Stegostoma tigrinum: one gene and its partners. The protein of the gene in region 2 interacts with the protein of the main gene of each other region in a biochemical or structural test. Links are inferred from orthologs where the notes say so. Each region holds a gene or a part of one and is shown on either strand. Other genes may lie near its edges. The genes, in order: anapc11, ube2kb, rlim and uba1.

Region 1 (7,693 bases), on a different chromosome or scaffold from region 2:
TGAAATGATTGAACACATTAATCAGTTACCACGTAAATGCATTTTTAAAACAAGTATTCAAGTGTCAAGCAAAAGCAGGACTCCCAGTATACTGTAGCACCTCAAGTCCAAATTTCTTTGCTGAGTTGAAACAAATGTCCACAGCAAGCCTATACAATATTTTGCAAATTAATTTCTGTTAAGTGAACATAGACCAAGGTATGTGTATAAATTTTATGTACAGAATTTTATTAGGTTCCTTTAAATTAACATGTTCATTCACAATCAGCTAATAGTTTGCTAACTCACATTAAATGTAGTTTAGTTCCCACACCAGTGCTTAGATTTATAGTGGTACTCAGACTTAAATTTTCGACCTTGCTTTCAACTCACTCCATAACTTGCACTCTACCAGCCCTATAAAATAATTGCGTTGCTTTAATTATGGCCTCAAGCAGCCCCAATTTTAATTACGCCACCCTTGTCTTTAGCTGTCCAGGTCCCAAGGTCTGAAATGCCCTCCAGAAACATCAGTCTCTCTCCCTCTCTAGGATGCCCCTTAAAATCTATCTTTTTGACCAAGGTTTTTTGCCATCTGATCTAATAGCTCTTCGTGACTCAATGTTACATCTTTTTTCATAGTCTCTGAAGAGCCTCAAAACTTCCTCTTGTTGCTGTAGTTGTATCAATTGCAACCCATGGGATGTGGATACACCTAGATATCTTTAGAAAGTGTGTTCCAACAGTGAAGGAAAACACCATCACAATTTCATGTCAGCATAAGGGTATCCCTATGTTCTTGCTGTTCTGGTTCTTCAGAGAAATGGAGTTTGCAAAGATTATGGTGCAGCAGCTAATACACTCAGTAAAAGGAATACAGTTTGATGCACAGTACCACTTCAATATGCATGAGAAATGATTAAAGGGCAAGTCAGTCTAATGAAACTTACTTCTTTTACATTTTGTAAACGGCCATTTCTAAGCCAGATTACAGTTCCATCCCATTTGAAATAATTATTATAGCGGAAAGAAGAAATTATTGACCAGAAAGCACCTTCAGAGTGGTTCCTACTTCATGTAGCAACAGAATGAACTTTAAGAGGAAAAGAACAAATGTGAAATACAGCACAGGAACAGGCCATTCACTCCTCCAAGGCTGTGCCAATCATCATGCCCTGACTAAACCAAAAAACAAACCTTCTGCCCTTATTTGGTCCATATCTCTCTATTCCCCCCCCATTCATGTAGCCATCCAGATGCCTCTTAAATGTTGCCAATGTGCCTGCTTCCACCATCTCCTCTGACTGCATTTCACACTCCTACCACTCTCTGCATGAAAAAAAAACTTTCCTCACATATCTCCCTTAAACTCCTGCTCTCTCACCTTGAACCCGTGCCCCCTAGTAATTGAAAGTTCAACTCAGGAAAAAGCCTTTTTGACTATCCACCCTATCTATGCCTCTTGTAATTTTATAGACCTCTTGTCTTCTCAGCTGCAGTCTTTCCAGTGAAAACAATCCTAGTCTTTTTGACCTTTCCTCATAGCCAATGCGCTCCAGACTGGGCAACATCCTGGTGAACCTCCTCTGCAATTTCTCCAAAGCTTCCACATCCTTTTGTAAATGTGGCAACCAAAACAGCACACAATACTCCAAATGCGGCCTAACAAAGGTTTTATATAGCTGCAACATGTTGTGCCAACTCTTGTACTCTATGCCTCAGCTGAGGAACGCAAGCATGCCATATGCCTTCTTTGTCAGAGATGGCAACACCATCTGCCATTTCTGCGCCCAAGTTGCCAATCTATCTATATCCTGTTGTACGTTTAACAACTATCAACAATTGCACTAATCTTTGTGTCATCTGCAAATTTATTAATCAAACCACACACATTTTCCTCCAGCTCGTTTATATATACACAACAAACAACAGAGGACCTAAGACTGATCCCTGTGGAACACGAGTTACTGGTCTCCATTCTGAAAAACACCCTTCCACCATTACCCTCTGTCTTCTATGATCAAGCCAGTTTTATTTCCATCTAGCAGCCCACCCTGAATCCCATATAATTTTAGTTTTTGTACCAATCTGCCATGAGGGACTTTATTAAATGCCTTACCAAAGTCCATATAAACTACATTCACAGCTTTTTGTTCAATTATCTGTGTCATCCCTTCAAAAAATTCGGTCAGGTTGGTGAGATATAACCTTCCGTGTACAAAACCATGCTGTTTGTTGCTAACTAGTCCATTTTCTTCCAAGTGTGCATGCATCCTGTCCCTCTACCTTCTCCAAGAGCTTTCCCACCAGAAACGTCACTCACCGGCTTAATGTTGGAAATGAATTTAGGTTAGCTTGTGTTTAACTATATCCACATCATTTAAACTTTATCTTCCCAAAAATGTAAATAGGATTTGAGGGATGGGGTTTGGGGCATTGGAGGATCTGGGGGGTTTGGGGCATTGGAGGATCTGGGGGGTCGGGGCATCTCCAGTCACCCATTTTGGAGGCTTGGTCCACCCTCTACCCCATACTCTCCCACTCCTACCCATGTCTCCCGTATTCTTTCTCCCTTTCTCTTTCCCTCCGGTCCCCATTCTCTCTCTCTTCCGTACTTTCCCTCCCTCTTTTCCTTTCCCATCCCCTTACTCACAGTCCGGGCAGCAGCCGTTAAACGCCGTGCGGCAAATACCACAATTCTCGTCGTTAGCCACCCAGAACCAGGTAGCGATGGCGTTCCAGCGCTTCACCTTGACCCGCATGACGGGCGGTTCGACAGCCCGGGGCAAGGGAGAAATCTCCGGATCCTGTTCGCAATCACACTCCATTCATCATGTCTGGGCAGGCCTCCGCAACAAAGCGCTGAACTGAACACATTCTTTCGAAACACATTTCTTCTTCCCGCCACAGGGGCCAAAACAAAATACTAAAACGGGCGTCAACAGTACAACATTGAAGTTTCAGAGATCGGATATTTTTTTCCTCCAACATCGATGATGTTTCTGCGTTTGATTCCCCGCGTCGGGACCTCCGTTTCAGGCGCTCTGATTGGCCGTTCACTTTGGCGCCTCTGATTGGCGGGTTCCACAGAAGGGAGGGAGGCTTGTTTCTCCTGTATATTGGGAGAAGAGCTGATCCATTGAGAAAGAGCTCTGGGAGGAATTAGGTCCACAGAGTCATAAAGATCTATTAGCACAGAAAAAAAGGCCCTCTGGTCTTTCACGTCTACACCGGTCAAAAACAACCACCTTAAGTAATCTAATCCCATTTTCCAGCACTTGCCTTGTATGCCAACTATACATCTAAACATCATCAGAGGAGCAGGAAAGCTGACCTTTCAGGCGTAGACCCTTCATTAGAATTGGGGAAGGGGGTTCTGAAATAAATAGGGACAAGGGGGAGGCTGATAGAAGATGGATAGAGAAGATAGGTGCAGAGGAAACAGACAAGTTAAAGAAGCGGGGATGGAGCCAGTAGAGGTGAGTGTAGGTGGGGAGGTAGGGAGGGGATGGGTCAATCCGGGGAGGATGGACAGGTCAAGGGGGTGGAATGAGGGGATAGGTGAGAGGAAGAACAGGTTAGGGAGGCGGGGATAAGCTGGGCTGGTTTTGGCTCCATCCCCGCCTCTTTGACTTGTCTGCCTTCTCTCCACCTATCCATCTTCGATCTGCCTCCCCTTCTCTATTTATTTCAGAACCCCCCTTCCCCTCCCCCATTTCTGATGAAGGGTGTAGGGCTGAAACGTAAGCTTTCCTGCTGCTAAAATGCTGCTTGGCCTGCTGTGTTCATCCAGCTCCACACTTTGTCATGATAATAAAATGTGAGGCTGGATGAACACAGCAGGCCAAGCAGCATCTCAGGAGCACAAAAGCTGACGTTTCGGGCCTAGACCCTTCATCAGAGAGGGGGATGGGGGGAGGGAACTGGAATAAATAGGGAGAGAGGGGGAGGCGGACCGAAGATGGAGAGTAAAGAAGATAGGTGGAGAGGGTGTGGGTGGGGAGGTAGGGAGGGGATAGGTCAGTCCAGGGAAGACGGACAGGTCAAGGAGGTGGGATGAGGTTAGTAGGTAGCTGGGGGTGCGGCTTGGGGTGGGAGGAAGGGATGGGTGAGAGGAAGAACCGGTTAGGGAGGCAGAGACAGGTTGGACTGGTTTTGGGATGCAGTGGGTGGGGGGGAAGAGCTGGGCTGGTTGTGTGGTGCAGTGGGGGGAGGGGATGAACTGGGCTGGTTTAGGGATGCAGTGGGGGAAGGGGAGATTTTGAAACTGGTGAAGTCCACATTGATACCATATGGCTGCAGGGTTCCCAGGCGGAATATGAGTTGCTGTTCCTGCAACCTTCGGGTGGCATCATTGTGGCAGTGCAGGAGGCCCATGATGGACATGTCATCAAGAGAATGGGAGGGGGAGTGGAAATGGTTTGCGACTGGGAGGTGCAGTTGTTTGTTACGAACTGAGCGGAGGTGTTCTGCAAAGCGGTCCCCAAGCCTCTGCTTGGTTTCCCCAATGTAGAGGAAGCCGCACCGGGTACAGTGGATGCAGTATACCACATTGGCAGATGTGCAGGTGAACCTCTGCTTAATGTGGAATGTCATCTTGGGGCCTGGGATGGGGGTGAGGGAGGAGGTGTGGGGACAAGTGTAGCATTACCTGCGGTTGCAGGGGAAGGTGCCGGGTATGGTGGGGTTGGAGGGCAGTGTGGAGCGAACAAGGGAGTCACGGAGAGAGTGGTCTCTCCGGAAAGCAGACAGGGGAGGGGATGGAAAAATGTCTTGGGTGGTGGGGTCGGATTGTAGCTTTTGTGCTCCTGAGATGCTGCTTGGCCTGCTGTGTTCATCCAGCCTCACATTTTATTATCTTGGAATCTCCAGCATCTGCAGTTCCCATTATCTCTCCACACTTTGTCATCTTGGATTCTCTAGCATCTGCAGTTCCTATTATCTCTGTACATCTGAATACTTCCTTAATGTTATGAGGGTTTCTGCCTCTTCCACCTTTACATGCCATGAATTCTAGATTCTGAGTGAAAAAGTTTTTCCTTACATCTTCTCAAAACCTTCTGTCCATTGTCTTAAATCTATGCTGTCAGTCATTGATCCCTCCAGCAAGAAGGTTTCTTTCTGTCTGCCCTATCTATATTTTTATTCATCACATGCACGTGCCCTTTCCATTTCCTCTGTTTTAAGGAAAGCAGCCCTGGTGTGTCCAATCTCTCATAACTGAAAATTTCCAGCCCAGGCAGCATCATGGTAAATCTCCCCCGCACCATCTCTAGTGCTGACATTTCCCATCTATAACGGACATAAAGGGGTCAGTTTCTGAAGTTATTGAATTCAATATTGAGACCTCGAGGCCTAAGCAAAGGAAAATGAAGCGTCGTTCATCGAGATTGCCTTGCGCTTTGATAGAACATTGTAGCAGGCCCAGGACAGAAATGGTTGCATAAGAGTTATGTGGCTTATTGAAATATTGAGCAACTGCGAGGTCAGTGTGATTCCTACAGACAGAATGGGGGTGTTGAGTTTCTCTATCATTTTTGGTATTTGTTTCAAATTTCCAGCATCCACAGTATTTTGTCTTTTTTCAAGCTACAGATTAATGGGTTAAAAACCAACTTGGGAACGAAATCTCCATTCCCCAAAGGGGGAGTAAAAAGGTATGTGCGTGAAGATATATTTTATGAAAATAACTTCTCTGCTCTTGCTTCATTCTCTTGAAACTTTTTTTACTTCTTTTTATCCAATTTCCATTGGAAGGCTGTGACTGAACTTACATTCACCATCCTTTCAGGCTGCTCTTGTTGAACAATGGCAGTGTACCAACCTCTGGGCTAGGATGTCTTATTTCAAGGCCCACCTGGTCCAAAAGTGTGCAACAACATGTCAGAACAAGATGATTGAAAATAATTTGTTGTGACACAGTTTTAGCATTCCTACCCCCAGGGCCAGAACATCCAGTTCAAGTCCCACCTGCCATATTGTCATAACATCTGAACAGGTTTGTTTTAAATAAAAGGTGTTGTGGCATCTATCTCAATGACTGGCATGGATCAGAATTGGCATTCTGCAGTGACCAGACAAACTTGCAGTGCTGCAACTGTGGTCCAATTTGTAATATATGAAGTTCCAGCATCACTTCCCAGCTCTTATAATCAAGGCAAGTATCTTGTATGCTTTCTCGACAATCTTTGCAACTCTTCATGAATCTTAACTTCACATTGAACAGTTAAGTACAAAAAAGCAAAGTTTCAACTTTTAAAAGAATTGCTGATTCTAGAAATCTGAAATAAAATCAGAAAATGCAGCCATCGCTCATTACGTTTGGCAACATCTGATCTGAAATATTAATTCTTTTTCTCTTTTCATAGATGCTTTGCTGCCAGATTTGCTGAGCGGTTCTAGTATTATTGTTTGAGTTTTAACTCTCCAATGTGATCTGTGTAGGTATGTAGCACATAACTGCCCAGATGATTGGAAACTTGACCCGAAATATGGAATGTCAAATTCCTATGGCCGTATCAGCCCTACAGACAACATGGTGGTGCTGGCTTGAATGTTTCACTCAATGGCCTATAAGTAGTATGTAAAAGCCATGGATATTTTCTCATGTACTTTTCATCATTTTACAAAAACAAGATCTGTGCTAACATTAATTAGCTGTAAAGTGGAGCATATGTGGTCATTGCTGTCGTACTTTGCTTTTTGCAATGACAGTGTGCAGCAACAATTTCTATATGAGTGAAGAAGGAGGGAAAATGAATAGGTCAGGTGAATGCACAGTTTGAAAGGGAAGCAGAAGTTTTACGTCCATAAGTTGAACCCAGAGTTGAAGATATACATTTTTGTTTTGCTTTATTTGGATGCAACAATTCACAATTGAGATTGAAAGCACTTTAACTCTTTCATTGCAAAAAGACATTGGACAAAACTGAGTTTCAATTGTGGCACCTGGGACACCAGAATAATACCTGCTAGTTACGTACCTACTCTATAATCAGTATCATTGTCTAATCCTGGTATCATCAAATTGATCAATTAAATCTATATAAAGAAAAAAATACTTAATATTTATATAATACTGCATTTTTCCTTTCAAGAACGCATCAAAGTATCACATACAATTAATTAGTCTGAAATGTTCTCATTGCCAATTTACAGGTGAATACAAGTGGTCTAGTTGGACTGAAGGGTCTATTTCCATGTTGTTTGGTCTATAACAGCCTTTTCACACAATGCATGGTGCCACAAGAAACAGTAAAATACAATGAATAGTCAATCTGGTTTAAATAATATTGGTTGAGAGAGTAATATCACCCAGGAGACCCCTTTCTAAATGCCATACCCTCCCCTCTTTTATTCATCTTCACTTGACCTTGGAAATCCACCTCATTCCTCCACCTGCTCCTTAGAGTGTCCCATTCATTCCTGCCCTAAAAGAACAGGACTTACCTCATTCTAGATACTAGTGTTTTGTTACATGGATATGCTTGCAATCGTGGCAGTGCACAGTGCTAAATTTTGGCATTTCTGGGCTGACTAGTGCCTCTAGCCAATCAGAACATTCCAATGTCAACAATGGCACTTCCTGTCCTCTCAGAGGCAGAAGCTGCCCTGCAACCTGTTTACGCCATTCCAAGACTGTTGTTGGTACACAGCAGCATTTTTTAGAAACTAGTTCATTTGGAAAGCGACTGGAATATCTGATGCAGAATGG
Region 2 (7,034 bases):
TGAATCTCCTTTGTAGTTCCTTGGCTAATCTATGTCATGGAGTGCCTGGTAGGGAGACTATGGGTCTGAGGGGTACTTCTGGCTTGTGCACTTTAGGGAGGCCGTAGAATTGGGGTGTGTTGGTTCCTTTGGGTTTCATTCTTGAGCAGTCTGCTATGTTGATCTGTCGTGTTTGTTTAAGTCTTTTTAGTGTGTAGAGGATTTTGTTGCCTAGTTGCAGTGTTGGGTCAGTTTGTACCGGCCAGTATGTATTCTCATTGGTGAGCAGTGCATGTGCCTTGGAGATGTAGTCCCTTTTTTTCAGTATCACTGTCATGTGCCCTTTGTCTGTGGGTAGTATTGTCATGTTCTTGTCCTTCTTTAATCCTTCCAGGGCCTGTCCTTCCCGTGTGTTGACTATTGAACACAGGGCAACAACACACTGCAGCAACACGGAACTTTGCCAAGAGGAAGAAGAATACCTCTTCCAGGTTTTCAAGGATAATGGATATCCAAAAAACTGGGTCAGAAGATGCCTACATGAACAACATCAGAAAGATACTACACACCCTGACACACTCATCACACTACCCTACATCAGGAATACGTCAGAACTCACCACAAGACTCTTATGACCGCTGGTCATCACAGTGGCACACAAGCCCATGTCAACCTTTCGACAACTGCTCACCTGAACTAAAGACCCACTCCCGCCATGGACAGGACCAACGACATCTACAAGATCCTCTGCAGTGACTTTGAGAAACAGAACATCGGAAAAACAGGAAGGAAACTAACAACAAGAGTACATGAACACCAACTGGCTACAAAATGATGTGACCAGTACTCACTCATCTCAATCTACATGGACAAGGAGAGCAGAGATAATGGGAACTGCAGATGCAGGAGAATCCAAGATAACAAAGTGTGAAGCTGGATGAACACAGCAGGCCAAGCAGCATCTCAGGAACACAAAACCTGATGTTTCGGGCCTAGACCCTTCATCAGAGAGGGGAATGGGGAGAGGGTTCTGAAATAAATAGGGAGAGAGGGGGAGGCGGACCAAAGATGGATAGAGGAGAAGATAGGTGGAGAGGAGTGTATAGGTGGGGAGGGGATAGGTCAGTCTGGGGAGGACGGACAGGTCAAGGGGGCGCGATGAAGTTGGTAGGTGGGAAATGGAGGTGCGGCTTGAGGTGGGAGGAGGGGATAGGTGAGAGGAAGAACAGGTTAGGGAGGCGGGGACGAGCTGGGCTGGTTTTGGGATGCAGTGGGGGAGGGGGAGATTTTGAAGCTGGTGAAGTCCACATTGATACCATTGGGCTGCAGGGTTCCCAAGCAGAATATGAGTTGCTGTTCCTGCAACCTTCGGGTGGCATCATTGTGGCATTGCAGGAGGCCCATGATGGACATGTCGTCTGAGGAATGGGAGGGGGAGTTAAAATGGTTTGCGACTGGGAGGTGCAGTTGTTTATTGCGAACCGAGTGGAGGTGTTCTTCAAAGCGGTCCCCAAGCATCCGCTTGGTTTCCCCAATGTAGAGGAGGCCACACTGGGTACAGTAGACTACATTGGCAGATGTGCAGGTGAACATCTGCTTAATGTGGAAAATCATCTTGAGGCCTGGGATGGGGGTGAGGGAAGAGGTGTGGAGGCAAGTGTAGCACTTCCTGTGATTGCAGGGGAAGGTGCCGGGTGTGGTGGGGTTGGAGGGGAGTACGGAGCGGACAAGGGAGTCATGGAGACAGTGGTCTCTCTGGAAGGCAGACAAGGGTGGGGATGGAAAAATGTCTTGGGTGGTGGGGTCGGATTGTAGATGGCGGAAGTGTCGGAGGATGATGCATTGCATCCGGAGGTTGGTGGGGTGGTACGTGAGGACGAGGGGTTTCTCTTAGGGCCGTTATTGTGGGGGCGGGGCGTGAGGGATGTGTTGCAGGAAATGCGGGAGACACGGTCAAGAGCGGTTTCAACCACTGCGGGGGGTGTAGGTTGAGGTCCTCGAAGAACGCGGACATCTGGGATATGCGGGAGTGGAATCCTGGGAGCAGATCCGGCAGAGGCGAAGGAATTGGGAATAGGGGATGGAATTTTTGCAGGGGGCTGGGTGGGAGGAGGTGTATTCTAGGTAGCTGTGGGAGTCGGTGGGCTTGAAGCAGACATCAGTTTCTGGCTGGTTGCCTGAGATGGAGACAGAGAGGTCCAGGAAGGAGAGCCACCATTTCAACTGGGACAATACCAAAATCCTGGGACAAGCTAGGCAGAGACAGGCACAAGAATTCCTAGAAGCCTGGCACTCCAGAAAGCAAGCAATTAATAAACATATTGAACTCAACCCCATATACATTTCACTATGAAGGAAAACCGGAAGTGAGGCAATCCATCTCAATGGACCCCAGAGTTTAAACACCGATGCTTCATCTGAGGCTGCACTGAGGATGTTACCCAGCATGGTAACGAAAGACTGCGAAACAAGAAATCAGCTCAGCAAGCCAACCAACCTCAAAAAACTTTAACTTTTATGGAAGGATTATCCCTTGCCATAAACATTTTAAAACTAATACAATTATGATCACTAGACTCAAGTGTTCCCCCAGAATCATCTCAGACACTTGCCCTGCCTAATTACCCAAGGAGTCAAAGATAATGGAAACTGCAGATGCTGGAGAATTCCAAGATAATAAAATGTGAGGCTGGATGAACACAGCAGGCCAAGCAGCTGCTCCTGAGATGCTGCTTGGCCTGCTGTGTTCATCCAGCCTCACATTTTATTACCCAAGGAGTCAAGTTTTGTTCCTTCTCTAGTAGGAACATTTACATATTGATAAAGAAAATTTTATTGAACACATTTAACAAATTCTTCACCATCCAAACCTTTAATACTATGGTAGTCCCAATCAATGCTTGGAAAGTTAAAATCCCCTCTTATTACAACCTTTTTATTCTGAGATCTCTCTACATACTTTTTCCTCAATTTCCTTCTGGCTATTGAGTGGCCCAAAATATAAACACATCACGGTGATCATTCCTTTCTTATTCCTAATTTCAATCCATATACTTTCACTGGATGAATTTTTGGAAATATTTTCTCTCGATACAGCACTAATGCTTTCCTCAATCAAAAACACCCCACACCCCACTCTATCCTACCTACAACATTGAGCTGCCAGTCCTGTCCTTCCCTCAATCAATTTTCTGCAATAGCAATGATGTCTCAACCCCATGTACCCAAACATGCCAAGCTCATCAGCCTTGTATTGAAATAAATGCAGTTTAATACTTCAGAGCTCCTTCTTTGTCTGACTTGTTCTTGCCTGTCTCTTCTAATTAGCTTGCTCTTTTCAGATTCATAACCATCCTTATGTATCTATTTACAATGCTACCTCTTTAATAGTTCGCAGTCTTCCTTAATAGAACTAGCACACCTCCCTGCCAGGATAACAAGGCGTAGAGCTGGATGAACATAGCAGGCCAAGCAGCATCTCAGGAGCAGGAAGGCTGACGTTTCGGGCCGAGACCCTTCTTCATTTCTGAACTCCACACCTGGAGAATTCAACAGCCAATTAAACTGAGTTTACAATCCAGAATGTGGGGAACATTAAAGAACATTACTTTCGAGCAGAGAATCATAAACAAACTACTTTCTGTTCACAAACGCCCTTGAAATAAGAGTGAGGCTTGGGGTTTGGGTGGATGCAAAGATGGACGTTAAGCAATGCATTACCCCAGCCCCCACCCCCTAAACATACGTAACATATCCTCCTTAGTGAGCCGCAATAACACACCAACAAGTCGGGGAAATCAGTGGGTGAGTATTATGACAGGTAGACCTTGCAGGGGATGTCATTTGACGCGGGTAAGGGATGAGGTTTGACCCTGTCCAGGTGTACACGGATCAGTAGCACGGAAGGCCTAAGTGTACTGAATGAAGATTACAGCCGAGCGGGCCCATATCGCTCCAACGTTCGCCAGTCAGCGACTGAGCCGCGAGCCCGTCACCGCCAGCCGCTCGCGCTTCTCGCCGACCCCATTCGCCCGACGGAGCTGTTGGAGTGCGCCTGCGCGGAAGCGCCGCCATTTTGGCCGTGCTGATAGTCTGATGTTGTAAGGAAGGCTGAGCCGAGGCCGAGCAGCGCGTCGCGAAATGGCCAATATCGCAGTGCAGCGAATTAAACGAGAGTTTAAGGAGGTCTTGAAGAGCGAAGAGGTAAGAGTTGCTCCCAACCTCACCTACGCTAATCTGTTCATACCTTCTTGGTTGACTGGCTGCGGACGGGAGAGGAGAGTGCGGGGAGTTTCATGGTGATGGACACGGGACCGGGTGATGGACAGGCGCCAGAGGCGGTTTCGGGAAAGTCCAGGGAGCCTTTGCGGGGCTTACTATAAGTCACTTTTTTAAAAGCTGCTGCAAATCTGCCGTTTATCAATGTCATAGCAATGGCGTGGTTGATGTGAAGCTCTTCAAATGCCGGATTTTTGGGAGGTCCGGGTGGTACCTTGAGCACTCAGGTTGTTGCTAAGCTTGTAGGCGTGTGACATTTTTCCACCACCATGCGAGACATCCACCTCCACATTAATTTTGTATACGGCTGAGTTCGTGGTGGAAGGAATTGAGATGAACGGTTTATTTCATGTTATTGCTAAGGTTTAGTCTAATGCTTTTCTTTGTTTAGAAACCGTATTGGTATCGGATGACATCGTCTCGTTAGGTGATATCTGGTTTCCACAATTGACATTTGGTTATTTTGCTGTGTTAACATGTTTTTCATTTCAGATATGCATTTACTTCACCACATCAGTTTTCTTTTAAACAAAAGGGAACGCAGGAATTTAGATCCGTGATTACGTTAAGCTAAACGACTATATAAAGTTTATCATAGTTATGAATTTAAATCTGCTTTAGACGTATTAAGTTGGTCAAAAATTAGTTATCTGCATATGGTTAGGCTCCAACTGACAATTTCTTTCCGAAGATTACAATTTTTTTTATCAGGTGTTGGTCAGTTTTATCATCTTGGAGTACTAATGCTAACTGTAGAACCTTACATAGTTTTCTGAAAGAATTCTACTTTTGAGCAATGTGCTCAGTCCCTACCTACTTTGAAAAGTTTTTGCAAATACCTTTTAATGTAGGTAGTAGATATGGGATTGCTTACATTAAAATTACATTAAAATACAACTCAGTTGTATTAAGTGTTTTGAACTATTTCTTCAAGGGTGTAATTGCATATTATTGATAACTGCAGATGTTTGATCAGTTATATGTTTACAAATAAAACATGTGACAGTTATGTTGTTCACTAGGATTTTATTTGATTTGTTTTCAGTATCTTCCTTATGATCTGATTGGGCCTCCGGCATGAGTGTGTCGCTGGTAAGGCCAAATTGCCTGGTCCAAATTGCCCTTAAAGATGGTAGGGTGCTGCCTGAGAATCCACGAATCATTCAATACTGAAGAGGCCCTTTGTGCCATCTAATCTGCCCTGCTGAAAATACACTACTATATACACTAGTCCTATTTTCCCATGCTAGGTCTATAGCCTTGAAGGTTATGAGCTCTTGAAGTGCCATCTAAGTACTTTTTTAAAGCTTGTGAAGTTTCCTACCTCACCAAACCCACCATGCAGTGTATTCCAGACTCTCACCATCTGTCTAGATGAAAAAGGTTTTCCTCAAATTCCCTCTAAACTTGTATTTTACTTTTAAAATTATGCCCCTTTTGTTATTGATTCTTTGATTAGCAGGAACAGCTGATTTTTCGTCGCCATGTCCATGCCCTTCATAATTTTACACACCTCCACTAGGTTTCATCTCAATTTCTGTGCTCAGAAGAAAACAACACCAGGTTATCCAACTTCTCTGCATAGCTGCAGTGCTTCATCCCTGGCAACATCCTGGTGAATCTTCTCTGCAGCCCCTCCAGTGTTATTACATCCTTTCTATAGTGTGGTGACTAGAACTGCATGCAGTATTCCAGGTGTGGCTTAACCAAGCTTCTGTAAAGCTTTAACATGATATCCCTGTTCTTATAATCATTGTCATGACTGGTGGACGCAAGTGTCCCATGTGCCTTTTAACTGTCCTGTTAATCTGTCCATCAGGGATCTGAGGACAAGCGCGCCAAAAATTCTCTCTCTTATTCTGAGCTTTATTGTGTCCTGCCATTCATTGGGTACTTGTTCCTTGTTCCTTCTTCCAAAGTACATCACCTCATGTTTGTTACTGTTAAATTCCATCTGTCACCGATCTGTCCATCTGACCAATCCATATCCTTCTGTCACCTAACACCTTCCTCCTCACAGTCAAACACCTAGATAATCTTTGTGCCATCTTCAAACCTACCCTATCAACCCCATTTTTGAATATCAAAAACAATAGGGTCCCAGTGCTGATCCTCATGGGATGCTACTGTACACTGGACTTCATTTACATAAACAACTTTCTATCAACACCAATTGGCTCTTGAGCTGCTACAGTTCATATGGTGTAGGTTCACCCATGATGACAGAAGCAGTTCCAGGATCTTGACCCAGCAACAATAGACACATATTGCCATTCTAAGTCAAAGTAGTGTGTGGCAGGGAGGATCTTGCTGGTGGTGTTCAACGCATCTGCGACCCTTATCCTCCTAGGTAGTAGAGGTTGCATGAATGGAAGTTGAAGGTCTTGTGGTGGTGGTTGGCATACACATTCTAAGTGTAATGCTACATCATCACTGTGCGTCAGTAGTGGGAAAATGGATATAAAGTAAGGGGGTTGCTTTGTCCTAGATTGTGTTGAGCTGCTTTTTAACTGTTTTGGATTTGCATTTGTCCAGGACAAAGCAGAGCTTTCCATCACCCTCCTCACTAATTCCTTGTTGGTGGAAAAGCTTTGGGCAGTCAAATTTTCAGTCACTTGTAGAATTCTGATCTGTTTTTATAATCGGTGTCTGATTGTTGGTCCCTGCCAGAATGTTGATGGCAGGAGTTTAGAAATGGCAATGCCATAAAACCCCAATAAGAAATGGCTAGATTCTGTTTGGAAATAATAATTGTCTAGCATTTGTAACACAAATGT
Region 3 (7,584 bases), on a different chromosome or scaffold from region 2:
AGAAAACAAGATTGTTAAATTTGTAAAGATAATTATTGAGAACAATAAAAATCACTGGTCACGTTTTGATCAAGTACAAGGAAATCAATATACCTCACACCCAGATGGAATTAAAAACTATAAATTTACATCTATTCTAAATAAAGAATTCTTAGTACTGTACATTCATCACCCAATGCGCAAGTCTGCCATCACTGTTAATGATGTAACTTATAAATGTTAATAATCACTGAACTGTGATGGAAGAAATGGCAACTGAAAAATCGACAAAAATCTTTATTATCCCTGTAACAAAGAGTATGTGTAAGAGGGAGATACAGTTTGATTTTTTAAAATCAAAGTTGAGATAAATTCAAAGGCAACCAGTCAGAAAGTTTGAATTACTCCACAGCACATGCCCAAATTCCACGTTTCTTGCATATAGCAATCTTAGCTCTCTGTTTAGTGTACCCTCAAGCTTGAGGGAAAAAAAGTCAACAAAACAGAACAATTTGTTCACATGAAGTTTTCATTTTACAAACATCAGACATATTCTCACTTAATTATATTGCAAAGTAAACCACACCAAAAGCAATGAATAAAATGTGAGGCTGGATGAACACAGCAGGCCAAGCAGCATCTCAGGAGCACAAAAGCTGACGTTTCGGGCCTAGACCCTTCATCAGAGAGGGGGATGGGGTGAGGGTTCTGGAATTAATAGGGAGAGAGGGGGAGGCGGACCAAAGATGGAGAGAAAAGAAGATAGGTGGAGAGGAGAGTACAGGTGGGGAGGTAGGGAGGGGATAGGTCAGTCCAGGGAAGACGGACAGGTCAAGGAGGTGGGATGAGGTTAGTAGGTAGGAGATGGAGGTGCGGCTTGGGGTGGGAGGAAGGGATGGGTGAGAGGAAGAACAGGTTAGGGAGGCAGAGACAGGTTGGACTGGTTTTGGGATGCAGTGGGTGGAGGGGAAGAGCTGGGCTGGTCGTGTGGTGCAGTGGGGGGAAGGGGACGAACTGGGCTGGTTTTGGGATGCGGTGGGGGAAGGGGAGATTTTGAAGCTGGTGAAGTCCACATTGATACCATTGAGCTGCAGGGTTCCCAAGCCGAATATGAGTTGCTGTTCCTGCAACCTTCGGGGGGCATCATTGTGGCACTGCAGGAGGCCCATGATGGACATGTCATCTAAAGAATGGGAGGGGGAGTGGAAATGGTTTGCCACTGGGAGGTGCAGTTGTTTATTGCGAACCGAGCGGAGGTGTTCTGCAAAGTGGTCCCCAAGCGGAGGCTTGGGGACCGCTTTGCAGAACACCTCCGCTCGGTTCGCAATAAACAACTGCACCTCCCAGTGGCAAACCATTTCCACTCCCCCTCCCATTCTTTAGATGACATGTCCATCATGGGCCTCCTGCAGTGCCACAATGATGCCCCCCGAAGGTTGCAGGAACAGCAACTCATATTCGGCTTGGGAACCCTGCAGCTCAATGGTATCAATGTGGACTTCACCAGCTTCAAAATCTCCCCTTCCCCCACCGCATCCCAAAACCAGCCCAGTTCGTCCCCTTCCCCCCACTGCACCACACGACCAGCCCAGCTCTTCCCCTCCACCCACTGCATCCCAAAACCAGTCCAACCTGTCTCTGCCTCCCTAACCTGTTCTTCCTCTCACCCATCCCTTCCTCCCACCCCAAGCCGCACCTCCATCTCCTACCTACTAACCTCATCCCACCTCCTTGACCTGTCCGTCTTCCCTGGACTGACCTATCCCCTCCCTACCTCCCCACCTGTACTCTCCTCTCCACCTATCTTCTTTTCTCTCCATCTTTGGTCCGCCTCCCCCTCTCTCCCTATTAATTCCAGAACCCTCACCCCATCCCCCTCTCTGATGAAGGGTCTAGGCCCGAAACGTCAGCTTTTGTGCTCCTGAGCCTGCTGTGTTCATCCAGCCTCACATTTTATTATCTCGGATTCTCCAGCATCTGCAGTTCCCATTATCACAAAAGCAATGAATGCCTGTTTTACGCTATCGTCACCATTAATATCCCACTTAAGTCCAAACATACACCAACCTGAGAAAGAAGGAAGCTTCAAGACTTCGCTCAAAAGCATCATTTTTTTGTTTCAAAGCACCAGTGTATTTCTATCTTCTGCTATATTGCACTATTGACCTACATAAAGCCAGTTACGCAATCACAAAGATCGTAATGCGCCAGACTTCTATTGTAGATCAATCGGTGATTATTACCAAGGCGACAGTGAGGGGGCAAAAGGAGAACACAAAAATAAATTCGCACTAAGACAGGAAACTGAACCTGTTGACGAACCGTATTAGCATTAAAAAAACACTCATCCTTCCCTCCAGCATTCCCTCCCATAGCTCCAAGGGTAGGCAGTGACACAGGAGAAAATAGTAAATTAGCTCCGAATAATTTCATCAAGACAAACAAAAAAGACAAAGTGGCCCAACCAAAAAGAAAACAAACCGGGAGCAATCAGGCTTTAAAAATATGGAAACACCTGGTGATTTTATCTGAAGTAATTGCGCTGAGAAGGGGACTGTTTCAAAAGACGCCGACTTTTTTTTAAAAAAAGGAGGGATTGGTTTTGTAAACCGGCGGGAAGAATAAGCAGCCCGGAGTTTAGGGGAAAAAACATGGGAGATGGGGTGGTTAAACCCTCACGGAATCCCCGGCCGTCTTATCCACGCCCCGCCATGGCTGAGATTAGGCCGCAGAGCCTGGGCCTTTCCCCGGCGCCGGTTCCCCATCGGCCTGTTCACAAGCTGCCGTACGCAGCAGGGTGTGCGCGACCGGCGACAGGGAGGACAGAGAAGGGCGAGAAGAAATCAATAGGCGCCGCCAACCGCGATCTGCCAGCACCGGCCGTGAGAGCCCTCCGGCCCCGGGCGCCCTCACCTGCTCACGTCGAGTTCGATCCGTTCGGGTCGGGCCGCTCACACCGTTACCACCATTGTTAGAGTGGGAGAGACAAGCGGAAACAGGAAACCAGCGCAGTGTCCCGCCGCTTCTGTCATCCCCCCGGCAGGTGGGAACCGCTACCCAAAACCATCCCACCAGCCCGCACAACGGCTCAACTCCTGGAGAAAGATTCCGGGCACGACATCATCGCCTCTGCAAGAAAGCATGAATCAAAGCAGTTTTTTTTTACTTTAAAAGAACTGCAGTTCATATCCCTATGCATTCGATTATATTTACTGTCATATTAAAGCAGATGTTTAAATATACACAAAATAAGTACCAGGAATTTCTCAGCAACAATAAGGTGGTTGACTCTTAACTGCCCCCTGGGCATTTAGGGATAGACAATAAATGTTGGACCAGCCGGTGATGTGCTCATCTTGTGAATTAATAATAATAATAAATAAAGGCCAGACAGCAGATGTGGAGAGAATGTGATGAAATCCTCTCTTTTGTACAAATATTTTCTATTCTACTTGGTCAGAGACATACTTCTGGAGCAGGTGGGGTGTAAACCCAGGTCTGCTGGCATAAGAGCCCTGTTATTCCCAGTGTACCCCAGCAGGTTGTGAACATCGAGGGAATAGACAGGTCCAAGCACTTTCTTCATTTGAGTTCCCCTATTTAAAATTCAGTCCTGCCAAGGAACAAGATCAGGCTTGTTGCAATGAGTCGCTCAGAATATTTCATAGATTTCAAGAATTCAAGAGTTATATGTGGTTGGAGAGTGAGTAAGGGAGCCAAAAGCAGGCTCCATGAGAAATCTAATGTTGAGAACACTGCTCTTTCTGTATTGTGAAGCTCAGAGAAAAGTCTAGCAGAACATTGGATAATTCTGAGCAGCACAATGTTAGAGTCAGTGCTCTGGAATGTCTGGAAACTGAGGACCTCAGAATAAAGTTGCAGTCAATTAATACCTCACTGTAGCTGAAGATGGTGGTTGAAAATCCCAGAAATAGTATTTGCTTTGCACAGCTGAGCAAACTTAAAAGTCAAAAAATTTCAGTCAAAATGCTAACTTGGTGAAGCTATCTGTGAAAAGTTGCAATTGATCCTGACAGCAAGTGCGAGAATGCAGATTCCAAATTTTAATGAGATTTGGTGTTCTTCGGTGTCACTAGCCTTGACTGGGAGGGGGTAAATTGCTGAGAATCTGCACAATCTGATTGTAGCTGTTACGTGATATGCTCAACCACAATTATCTGCAACCCATGTAGACTTGAGTTAGTTTTCAATAATTATGACTTGATTAAGCAAGTGAGGAATTAACTATATATTAGTACCATAAGATATAGGAGCGGTATCAGGCCTTCTGGTCTACTGAGTCTGCTCACCATTCGATCATGTTTATTGAGTCACAGAGCTGTACAGCATGGAAACAGACCCTTCAGTCCAAATCATCCTTGCAAACCAGATATCTTAAATTAATTTGGAGACATTTCCCAGCATTTGGCCTGTATCCCTCTAAATCTTTCCTATTCATTTACCCATCCAGATGCCTTTTAAATGTTGTAATTGGACCAAGCTCTACCACTTCCTCTGGCATCCCATTCCATACATGCACCATCCTCTGTGTGAAAAATTTGCCCCTTAGGTACCTTTTAAATCTTTCCCCTCTCACCTCAAACTTATGCCTCTAGTTTGGACTGCACTACCCCAGGAAAAAGACCTGTCTATCCCCCTTGTCCATGGCCGTCATAATTTTATAAACTTCTATGAGGTTACCTCTCAGCCTCCAATGCTCCAGGGAAAATAGCCCCAGCCTATTCAGTCTCTCCCTATAGCTCAAGCCCTCCAACCCTGGCAACATCCTCATAAATCTTTTCTGAACCCTTTCAAGTTTCACAACATCCTTCCAGTAATAGGGAGGTCAGAAATGCATGCAGGTTTCCAAAAGTGGCCGAACCAATATCCAACCAACCAGAACATGACCTCCCAAGTCCCGTTGCACTGACCAAGAAAGGGAAGCACACTATACACCTCCTTCACTACGCTACCTATCTGTGACTCTACTTCCAAAGAACTATGAACCTGTACTCCAAGGTCTCATTGTAATAAAGTGTGAAGCTAGACAAACACAACAGGCCAGGCAGCATCTCAGGAGCACAAAAGCTGACGTTTCGGGCCTAGGCCCTTCATCAGAGAGGGGGATGGGGTGAAGGTTCTGGAATAAATAGGGAGAGAGGGGGAGGCGGACCGAAGATGGAGAGAAAAGAAGGTAGGTGGAGAGGAGAGTATAGGTGGGGAGGTGGGGAGGTGGGGAGGGGATAGGTCAGTCCAGGGAAGACAGACAGGTCAAGGAGGTGGGATGAGGTTATTAGGTAGGAGATGGAGGTGCGGCTTGGGGTGGGAGGAAGGGATGGGTGAGAGGAAGAACAGGTTAGGGAGGCAGAGACAGGTTGGACTGGTTTTGGGATGCAGTGGGTGGAGGGGAAGAGCTGGGCTGGTTGTGTGGTGCAGTCGGGGGAGGGGACGAACTGGGCTGGTTTTGGACCCAAGATGACTTTCCATATTAAGCAGAGGTTCACCTGCACATCTGCCAATGTGGTATACTGCATCCATTGTACCCGGTGTGTCTTCCTGTACATTGGGGAAACCAAGCGGAGGCTTGGGGACGGCTTTGCAGAACACCTCCACTCGGTTCGCAATAAACAACTGCACCTCCCAGTCGCAAACCATTTCCACTCCCCCTCCCATTCTTTAGATGACATGTCCATCATGAGCCTCCTGCAGTGCCACAATGATGCCACACGAAGGTTGCAGGAACAGCAACTCATATTCGGCTTGGGCACCCTGCAGCCCAATGGTATCAATGTGGACTTCACCAGCTTCAAAATCTCCCCTTCCCCCTCCGCATCCCAAAACCAGCCCAGTTCGTCCCCTCCCCCCCACTGCACCACACGACCAGCCCAGCTCTTCCCCTCCACCCACTGCATCCCAAAACCAGTCCAGCCTGTCTCTGCCTCCCTAACCTGTTCTTCCTCTCACCCATCCTTTCCTCCCACCCCAAGCCGCACCTCCATCTCCTACCTACTAACCTCATCCCATCTCCTTGACCTGTCCGTCTTCCCTGGACTGAACTATCCCCTCCCCACCTCCCCACCTATACTCTCCTCTCCACCTATCCTCTTTTCTCTCCATCCTTGGTCTGCTTCCCCCTCTCTCCCTATTTATTCCAGAACCCTCACCCCATCCCCCTCTCTGATGAAGGGTCTAGGCCCGAAACGTCAGCTTTTGTGCTCCTGAGATGCTGCTTGGCCTGCTGTGTTCATCCAGCTTCACACTTTATTATCTTGGATTCTCCAGCATCTTCAGTTCCCATTATCTCTCTCCAAGGTCTCATTGTTCAGCAACACTCTCAGCAACAATACCATGAAGTATATAAGTGCTGCCTTGACTTGCCTTTCCAAAATGCAATACCTCACATTTATTTAAATTAAACTCTGTCTGCAACACCTCAGCCCACCAGCCCATCTTATCAAGATCCCATTGTACTTTGAGGTAACCTTCCCGGCTGTCCACAACACCACCGAATTTAGTTGTCGTCTGTAAAATTACTAACCATAACCCTATGTTCACATCCAAATCATTTATATAAATGATGAATAAGCAGTGGACCCAATACCGATGTTTGAGGCATACCGCTGGTCAAAGGCCTCTAGTCCAAGAAAAAACCCTCCACCACCACACTCTGTCTCCTATCTTTAAGTAAACTCTGTATCCAATTGGCTAGTTCTATATTCCATGTGAGCTAACCTTGCTAACCAGTCTACCATGTGGAACCTTCTCGAACGCCTTACTGAAGTCCATATGGATCATGTCCACCACTTTGCCTTCATTAATCCTGTTCATTGCATATTCAAAAATATATATTTCTCAACTGCATTCTTTTGCCTTCTCCTCTTAACCATTGACCCCACTACCAATCAAGAACCTATCTACCTCTTTAAATACACTCAATGAATTGGCCTCCACAGCACTCTATAGCAATGAATTCCACAGATTCACCACATTCTGGCTAAAAAAATTTCTCAGTTCTAAAGGGTCGTGGTGAAGCGGTGCCCTCAGGCCCTAGTCTCTCCTACTAGTGGAAAATTCTTCTCCACGTCCACTGTACTCAGGCCTCTTAAGTTTCAATGAGAAACTCCACCCCCTTTCCACATCCTTCTAAACTCCCGTGCAGCACCTTATCAAAAACCTTCTGGAAATCCAAACAGATCGTATCCACTCCTGTTCCTTTGTATAATTTGCTTGTTACCTCCTCAAAGACTTTTAACAAAATTTGTCAGGTGTGACCTCCCCTTCAAGATGCCATGCTGACTCAGCCCTATTTTATCATGCACTTACAAGTACTCTGCAATCTTATCCTTATTAGCAGACTTTAATTTCCGACCAACAACAAAGTTCAGGTAACCAGTCTGTCATCTCTCATCTTCTGCCTCCCTCCTATCTTAAACAGGAGTATTACATTAGCCATTTTCTTGTCCTCTGGGACCTTCCCTGACTCCAGTGATTCCTGAAAGATCACCACCAATGTTTCCACGATTGCTTTAGCTATCTCCGTCAGAACTCTGGTAAACAGTCCATCCGGTGCAGGTGTTTTATGCATCTGCAGCTATTTCAGCTTTC
Region 4 (7,494 bases), on a different chromosome or scaffold from region 2:
AACAAATATCTGGAATTAAAGGTCTAATGATGACCTTAAATCCATTGCTAATGGTTGGAGAAAATCCCATCTAGCTCACTAATCTCCTTCAGGGAAGGAAACTTCCATCTTTACCTAGTCTGGCGTACATGTGACTCCAGACCCACAGCAATGTGGTTGACTCATAACTGCCCTCTGGGCTATTAGGGATGGGCAATAAATGCTGCCTAGCCAGCGATGCCCTCATCCTGTGAATGAATAATATAAGTTTTACATATCCCAGGTTACCTTACCTTTAAACTGAAAGCAAAATCTTGCAAATGCTTAAAATCTACAATTAAAAGTGAAAGTACACAGCAAGTCCCCTCGAGGTTTTGTACAGAGAGAAACACAGCTAATGTTTCAGGCCATGACTTTTTAAATCAGACCTGGGAAGTTTTGAGAAATAACAGGTTTTAAGTAAGTACAGAAACTGTGGAAGATGGTAGTGAGGAAAGCACAAGAGGAAAGGGGTGTGATGGGATGCTAGAAGGATGTAACAAAAGGGATAAAGGTATGAGGCAAAATAAGATGGTGACACTCAAGCCAGAAGGAATATGAGGAAGTTAAATCAGAATCAGAGCTACGACCTTGCTGTCCAAAGCAATGGGGACAGTGATCGTGATCGGACATTATTTTACTCCACCCCCTGTTCATAAGGCTGTAAAACACCCAAGCTAGAATATGAGGCCTCTGGAGCTTCTGTTGAGCTTCATTGGAACAGTTCAGGAGGCCAGGGAAAGAGTGGCCAAAGTTGGAGGGAGAGCTGAGAACTAAAATGACAGGGTATTGGAAGCGAGGGTCATGCTTTCAGACTGAATGGAGGTGTTTAGGATGGCAACCCTCCAGTCCATGTTCAGTTGTTGTATAAAGAGAAAAGTGCATGAGGATTAGCAAATGCATCATACTCTAATTCTGGCTCTGGTGATTTGTGCATTCTATCCTCCCATCAGCACCCCAGTCAAATGCTGGAAGGCAACTGAACTATACTGGTTCTGTGTAGGACGATCAATGAGAAGTTTTAAGAGCATTGGATAGATCTGTTGAGTTGGGACTTAAGGAAGGCTTAGAGAATGTGGGGTTTTAGAGAAGTCTGCAAGATATTAATGATTAAGTTCCATTGAGAGTTGGTATTGGAAAACCTGAAAGCAGCATTAGCATGACGCAATCAAACAAGACTAGAGCTCATGATAATACACAAGTGTAGTACTAGCTTGATAAAGTCAGTTGGTGGTGAAAAGCTGGATCTATGCCTGCAAGTAAATGCTGTGCCGGAGTGCAGTTTGCACAATCTAGAGAAGCACAGACCCTTCAAAGGAAGGTGAATATAAAAACATAGCAGTCAACAGAAGTGTCTGTGACATAACGGGTCTTAAGGGACTTTCCAGACCAGATTGTGAAAAGTGAAGAATTGAAATCACTTGTGATATTTTTAAAATTAAATTTGATGATCCATTGTGTCATTAAGCTTTTGGAGGGAGGGATAGCTGAGAAATCCATGGGATATGTCTTTATTGCTTCTGAAATTTGACATGCTCTGTAGGGCAATCAATCACAATTTGTTACCCACATTTGGCTCCCGTTAATTCTGGATGTTAGAATATAATTTATATGTGCGTATATGTACATTGCATTGTATAGTAAAGATTATCATTATCTGTTTAAAACCATGGAATCTTATGACATTATTCTCTGGGAAATACCTGGGATGTGAAACTATGTCAACTTTAAAAAAGTCACTAGTCCCTCACAGATCATAATATAAATTTGGTGGTGTGGTCTGGCATCATAAAAGGTAACATGAGCTTTTGGGTGTCCTGAGATGGGGGAGAGTGCTAGATGAATGGAAATCTTCTAAGGTGTCCCAGCCAGCTGCTTTGCCGAAATAAGGGAAATTTAAAATTTTTAAAATGTTGCAAGGATCAGGAACATACTGTATGAGGGTATAAAGGAGAATTCGACCATAGTTTTCAAGAGGGAATTGAATAATAATGCTGAGAAGGTATTTTCAGCGCAATAAGGAAAGCGACCCCCTGCGTAGCTTCGACAGACAGCTATCAGGGATGCTAGGGGCTGAATGGCCTTGCTTTGATCAGCAATCAATCTTCGACTCAAATGCATCCAATCAGAGTTGACAATCATATTGTGAAGAGCATTGGTGGCGGTCGGATAGCAAATCTGTATTTCTGGCACTACATACAACACCTCAACACAATTAATATTTGAAGGTCTAACAGAGGAACATACAGGGTTCAGATGCGAGTTGGCAGCAACTTCATTAAAACTCACGGGGAATTAACAAAAAAAATCCCCTTTACACTTTATTTCGCTTTCCTTCTTTGACACGATGGGTCGAATGGTCTCTTTCGGTATTGCAACAATTCTGCGGGCATACATCACAAAGTCAACAAATTCAAGTGTAACTTCCCGTCCACGTTGTCAGAATGATCAATCAAAATGGGAAAAGGGAGTGGGGGGAAGCAAAACAATTTGTCAATTTCATTCATTTGTTAAACTGAAGAAATTTGCAGACGGTCCAGTTATCTCATTTCCAATAAATCCACGGAAGCTCAACAACCAAATTTCAACAGGCAGTTTCTCTTTGTAAAATAAAGTCACTCACTCCTACAACAACAGATTGCCTTTCGCCTCAGTGCAATAGGAAGAAGCTTTCATTCGTAAAGGCAAAATTCTGGTTCCAAATTTGAAAACTCAAAAATATATCTTTGGTCAGCTGGTAGATTGTAAAGTCAGTTTCAGTGGAGCAATGATAACCTGAGCTTACCATCCTCAGTAATTGCCTGGGGCACTGTTCTACAGCATTTTACTATAACACGGATTTTGATGGCTATACCAACATATCGCGAACGCTAACGCACCTTAGTTTACTCTCTTGTCCCTGAGGAAGGTGCTTCTGTCCGGCAGCGATACAAATTGCTCCGATCAACTGAATGACACTGCCTGCGCTTGATCTGGGAGAGCGAGCAACAGAAAGGAAACAAAAAGCTTCCTGCCAAATTCTGATCTCTTTAAAAGGGCAACACATTTCAACTCCTGACAGCGTCCTCGTTCAGACCGGACGAGGCTGGGGCGTATAACGGCAGGACCCGGAACCGACCGGTTAGAAACAGACTGTTCCCAACAATTGATGAGGGGTCTAGACTGAAGGGGTCCATGCATTAGAGGCTTATAAAGTCATGAGGGGCATGGATGGGGCGAAAAGCCAAGGTCTTTTTCACAGGGCAGGGCAGTCCAAAACCTGAGGACATAGGTTTAAGGTGAGAGGGGAACGGTTTAAAAGGGACCGAAGGGCTAACTTTTCCAAGCAGAGAGTGGTCCATGTATGAAATGAGCTGCCAGAGGAAGTGATGGAGGCTAGTACAGTTACAGCATTTAAAAGGCTTTTGGAAAGTTTTAAAAGGGGAACGATAGTAGGAACTGCAGATGCTGGAGAATCGGAGATAGCAAGGTGTAGAGCTGGATGAACACAGCAGGTCAAGCAGTATCTTAGGAGCAGGAAGGCTGATGTTTTGGGCCTAGACCCTTCATCACAAAAGGTTTAAAAGGACATGGGCCATTTGCTGGCAAATGGGACTAGGTTAATTTATGTTAACTGGTCAGCATGGTTGAGTTGGACCAAAAGGCCTGTTTCTGTGCGGTACATCTCTATGCCTTTATATACAAAATGAAAAGCCCTCTGTAAAACAATCGGCAGGTGAGACTTCTTTACACACGTTATTGGGAAATTGTAGATTTTACTTCAGGGACAGTGATTCAGGTAGAAATGAAAGCCTGAGCTTTCATCTGTTTGAATCGGAGGCAATGGGACATAATGTGAGTTTTTTTGGGGGTGGTGTTGTATTCAATTCAGTATGGCTGGTTAGCAGTCAGGTTAAAATCAGGCCACATGCTAAAATTCCAGGTGACATTGAATAGGTGAATGAAGGGTGAGGAACAAGGTGGCTGAGGTCCAGACTACAAAATAAATAAGAGACAATTTTGAATCATAGAATCCCTACAGTGTGGAAGTAAGCCCTTCAGCCCAACAAGCCTACACTGACCTTCAGAGAATCCCACCCAGACCTATCCCCCTATAATCCACTTAACCTACACATCCCTGAACATTACGGGCAATTTAGCCTGGCCAATCCACCTAGCCTGCACATCCTTGGACTGTGGGAGGAAACAGGAGCACCCAGAGGAAACCCACACAGACACGGGGAGAACATGTAAAACTCCACACAGACAGTCACCTGAGGGTGGAATCAAACCCAGGTCCCTGGCACTGTGAGGGAGCAGTGCTAACCACTGAGCCACCGTGCAACTTTCTGGGGATAAATATGGATGCAGACTGACAAAACTGAATGGCCTGTCCCCATGTTCTTATTTCCCTGAGATTGGAAGATGTCATGATTTAGAAGAGGAGGGGTAACCAAAATCCACTGAAGGGAACAAGCTAGGCTCATATTCCAATTCATGAATTGTTGCATTATTGTCCTTGAGGTGACACACTTAAACTGAGGCCATGTCTATAAATCATGGTTCATGAAATCGAGGAGTCCTCATCGTGATCTGACAATTATCCTGTGTTCAAGTAACATCATCCAGGTACCTGCTTGTTTATATCATTTCCACTTGTCAGCCTTGGAAGGTGGAAAATGGCTTTCACATTTGCCAGACATGGCAATAACATATGTAAGAATGTTTGTGAAATGTGAGAAACTACTGTGTTCAAATCCAACCATAGCAGATGGGGGCATTTGAAAGCAATAAAGCTTGCGAAGCTGAAGTCTAATGATGACCATTATTGATTGTTGGAAAACCCCACCTTCTGGTTCACGAATGTCCTTTAGGGTTGGAAACAGCCATCCTCACCTGGTCTGGCCCACATGTGACTCCAAACCCACAGCGATGTGGTTGACTCTTAACTGCCCTCTGGATAATTAGGGACAACCAATAAATGCTGTTTTAGCCAGCAGTATACCCAGACTAAGAATGAAAAATAAAATTCACTTTAATAACCAGTAAGCTAGAGATTTGAAAGAAACTCTGACTTATGAGGTTAAGAATGTAAGAAATTACAGCAGGAATGGGCTACATAGTCCTTTCAACGGCCCCAACCATTCAATGAGCTGAGTTGATATTTTATATTAAATTCACTTCTTTCTCTTATGTCCACAAGATCTTCTTGTTGTGCCGTGGTAGTGTCTCTACCTCTGAGCCAAAAGGCCTGGGCTTGAGTCGCCCCTGCTCTGGAAGTGTATATTAATGCATCTGAACAATTAAAAATGCTGGCCTGTTTGCAGCACAGACATTTTAACTAGTATTTTTGAACTGTGCAGCATGTTGAGCTGCCGCTGTTTACATAGTAACAGCTATTGCAGTTTTATTCATGTTCTAGATCAGTGTAAGAAACACGATATCAGGTTATAATCCAACTTGGCGTGTTATTTCTGACCTTGTCCACCCCAGTCCATCACCGGCACCTCCACATCATGGCACTGTACATAAAAGAGACAGGGCATTCAATGATTTGCAACACAAGTTGTTTTCTGAAGAAGTGACACTGGATTCCGAATGTTAACTCTGCTTTCTCTGCACAGAGGCTATGCAGAACACCTCCACTCGGTTCACACTAAATAACTGCACCTCCCAGTTGCGAACCATTTCAACTCCCCCTCCCATTCCGCAGATGACATGTCCATCATGGGCCTCCTGCAGTGCCACAACGTTGCTACTCGAAGGTTGCAGGAACGGCAACTCATATCCCACTGGGAACCCTGCAGCCCAATGGTATCAATGTGGACTTCACAAGCTTCAAAATCCCCCCTCCCCCCACCGCATCCCAAAACCAGCCCAACTCATCCCCGCCTCCCTAACTTGTCCTTCCTCTCACCTATCCCCTCCTCCCACCTCAAGCCCCACCCCCATTTTCTACCTACTAACCTCATCCCGCCCCCTTGACCTGTCTGTCCTCCCTGGACTGACCTATCTCCTCCCTACCTCCCCACCTACACTCACCTTTACTGGCTCCATCACTGCCTCTTTGACCTGTCTGTCTCCTCTCCACCTATCTTCTCCTTTATCCATTTTCTATCCGCCTCCCCCTCTCTCCCTACTTACTTCAGAATCCCCTTCCCCTCCCCCATATCTGATGAAGGGTCTACGCCAGAAACGTCAGCCTTCCTGCTCCTCTCATGCTGCTTGGCCTGCTGTGTTCATCCAGCTCTACACTTTGTTATCTCAGAATGCCCGACCTGCTGAGTTTCTCCAGCAATTTCTGTCTTTTGCTTCAGACTTCCAGAATCTGCCTTTCTCGTTAGTGTTGTTGTCATTGCCACTTTAAGGGGCGGAGCTTATTGTCAGAGACTAAGGTCCAAATTTATTTGAAAACTCCCAGACTGAGAGGAAACAGAAAGTGAAAGTGAAGAGATAATGGGAACTGCAGATGCTGGAGATTCCAAGATAATAAAATGTGAGGCTGGATGAACACAGCAGGCCAAGCAGCATCTCAGGAGCACAAAGTGAAATTGAAATTTTAGACTCCGAATGAATTCACATTTGCTGGTGTGGAAAGCTTATTTGAAGCATATAGCAGAGGGTTTGGGTCAAACGGGAATGCTTTCACCCTGTGTTTATTTTAAAATAACTGATAGAAAAAAGTCGAGCCCAGCTGCTATTATCCTTGAAATGCAGTTTCCTGACATTTCACACTCAACTTTCTGCCGCGTGCGCCCTGCCAATGTCCACACAGCAGAGATGTGCAGATTGACTGCCACTGATCTCTCTCTCTCTCCCTGTCGATGACTCGGTGTCTTCTCTCAATGACTCCCTTCCCACAACAGCAGCTCCGCTCAAGGGTTAATATCCCGATATCCCTATACATAGATGGCACCAAGATTGATGGTGCAGCAGAACAGTGAAGAAGATTATGGAAGATAACAAAGAAGCCATGATCAATTAGCCAATGGGCTGAAGAGTGGCAGATGGAGTTTAATTTGGTTAAATGTGAGGTATTGCATTTTGGTAAATAAAACAAAAGCAAAAATTATACAATTAAAAGTGGGACCTTGGGTAGCGTTGTAGAACAGAGAGACCTCAGGGTTCTTTGAAGTTTGCATCCCATATAGACAGCGTTGTTAAGAAGGAGTTTGGCACACTTGTCTTCATTGCTTAGACCTTTGAGAGTAGGAGTTGGCACATTATGTTGAGGTTGTACAGGACATTGTTGAGACCTCTTCTGGAATACTGTGACCAGTTCCAGTTGCCCTGTTATAGGAAGGATATTGTTAAGCTGGAGAGAGTTCAGAAGAGATTTACCCGGATGTTGCTGGGGAGGGAGGGTTTGAGTTATGGAGACAGGCTGGATATGCTGGGATTTTTTTCACTGAAGTGTAAGCGGTTGAGGGGTAACCTTTTAATTAGAAGTTTATAAAATCATGAGGGATGTGGATAAGGTGAATGACAAGTGTCTTT

Evidence for each region.
Region 1: the proteins of ube2kb (region 2) and anapc11 form a complex in vitro, tested with the Homo sapiens proteins (3 studies listed by BioGRID). The link is inferred for Stegostoma tigrinum from reciprocal best matches to the Homo sapiens genes UBE2K and ANAPC11.
Region 3: the proteins of ube2kb (region 2) and rlim form a complex in vitro, tested with the Homo sapiens proteins (2 studies listed by BioGRID). The link is inferred for Stegostoma tigrinum from reciprocal best matches to the Homo sapiens genes UBE2K and RLIM.
Region 4: of the proteins of ube2kb (region 2) and uba1, one has a biochemical effect on the other in vitro, tested with the Homo sapiens proteins (9 studies listed by BioGRID, with this or other methods). The link is inferred for Stegostoma tigrinum from reciprocal best matches to the Homo sapiens genes UBE2K and UBA1.

The regions. Positions count from the first base shown.
Region 1 is NC_081375.1:22,110,726-22,118,418, reverse strand, and holds the start of anapc11 (anaphase-promoting complex subunit 11), read right to left. Parts: upstream 3,019-7,693; 5' UTR 2,808-3,018; coding exon 2,633-2,807; intron 1-2,632. UniProt on the Homo sapiens protein: Together with the cullin protein ANAPC2, constitutes the catalytic component of the anaphase promoting complex/cyclosome (APC/C), a cell cycle-regulated E3 ubiquitin ligase that controls progression through mitosis and the G1 phase of the cell cycle.
Region 2 is NC_081354.1:98,591,658-98,598,691, forward strand, and holds the start of ube2kb (ubiquitin-conjugating enzyme E2Kb (UBC1 homolog, yeast)), read left to right. Parts: upstream 1-4,012; 5' UTR 4,013-4,119; coding exon 4,120-4,182; intron 4,183-4,225; exon of another isoform or gene 4,226-4,289; intron 4,290-7,034. UniProt on the Homo sapiens protein: Accepts ubiquitin from the E1 complex and catalyzes its covalent attachment to other proteins. In vitro, in the presence or in the absence of BRCA1-BARD1 E3 ubiquitin-protein ligase complex, catalyzes the synthesis of 'Lys-48'-linked polyubiquitin chains.
Region 3 is NC_081368.1:21,549,885-21,557,468, forward strand, and holds the start of rlim (E3 ubiquitin-protein ligase RLIM), read right to left. Parts: upstream 3,014-7,584; 5' UTR 2,893-3,013; intron 1-2,892. UniProt on the Homo sapiens protein: E3 ubiquitin-protein ligase.
Region 4 is NC_081364.1:12,926,026-12,933,519, forward strand, and holds the start of uba1 (ubiquitin-like modifier-activating enzyme 1), read right to left. Parts: upstream 3,015-7,494; 5' UTR 2,898-3,014; intron 1-2,897. UniProt on the Homo sapiens protein: Catalyzes the first step in ubiquitin conjugation to mark cellular proteins for degradation through the ubiquitin-proteasome system.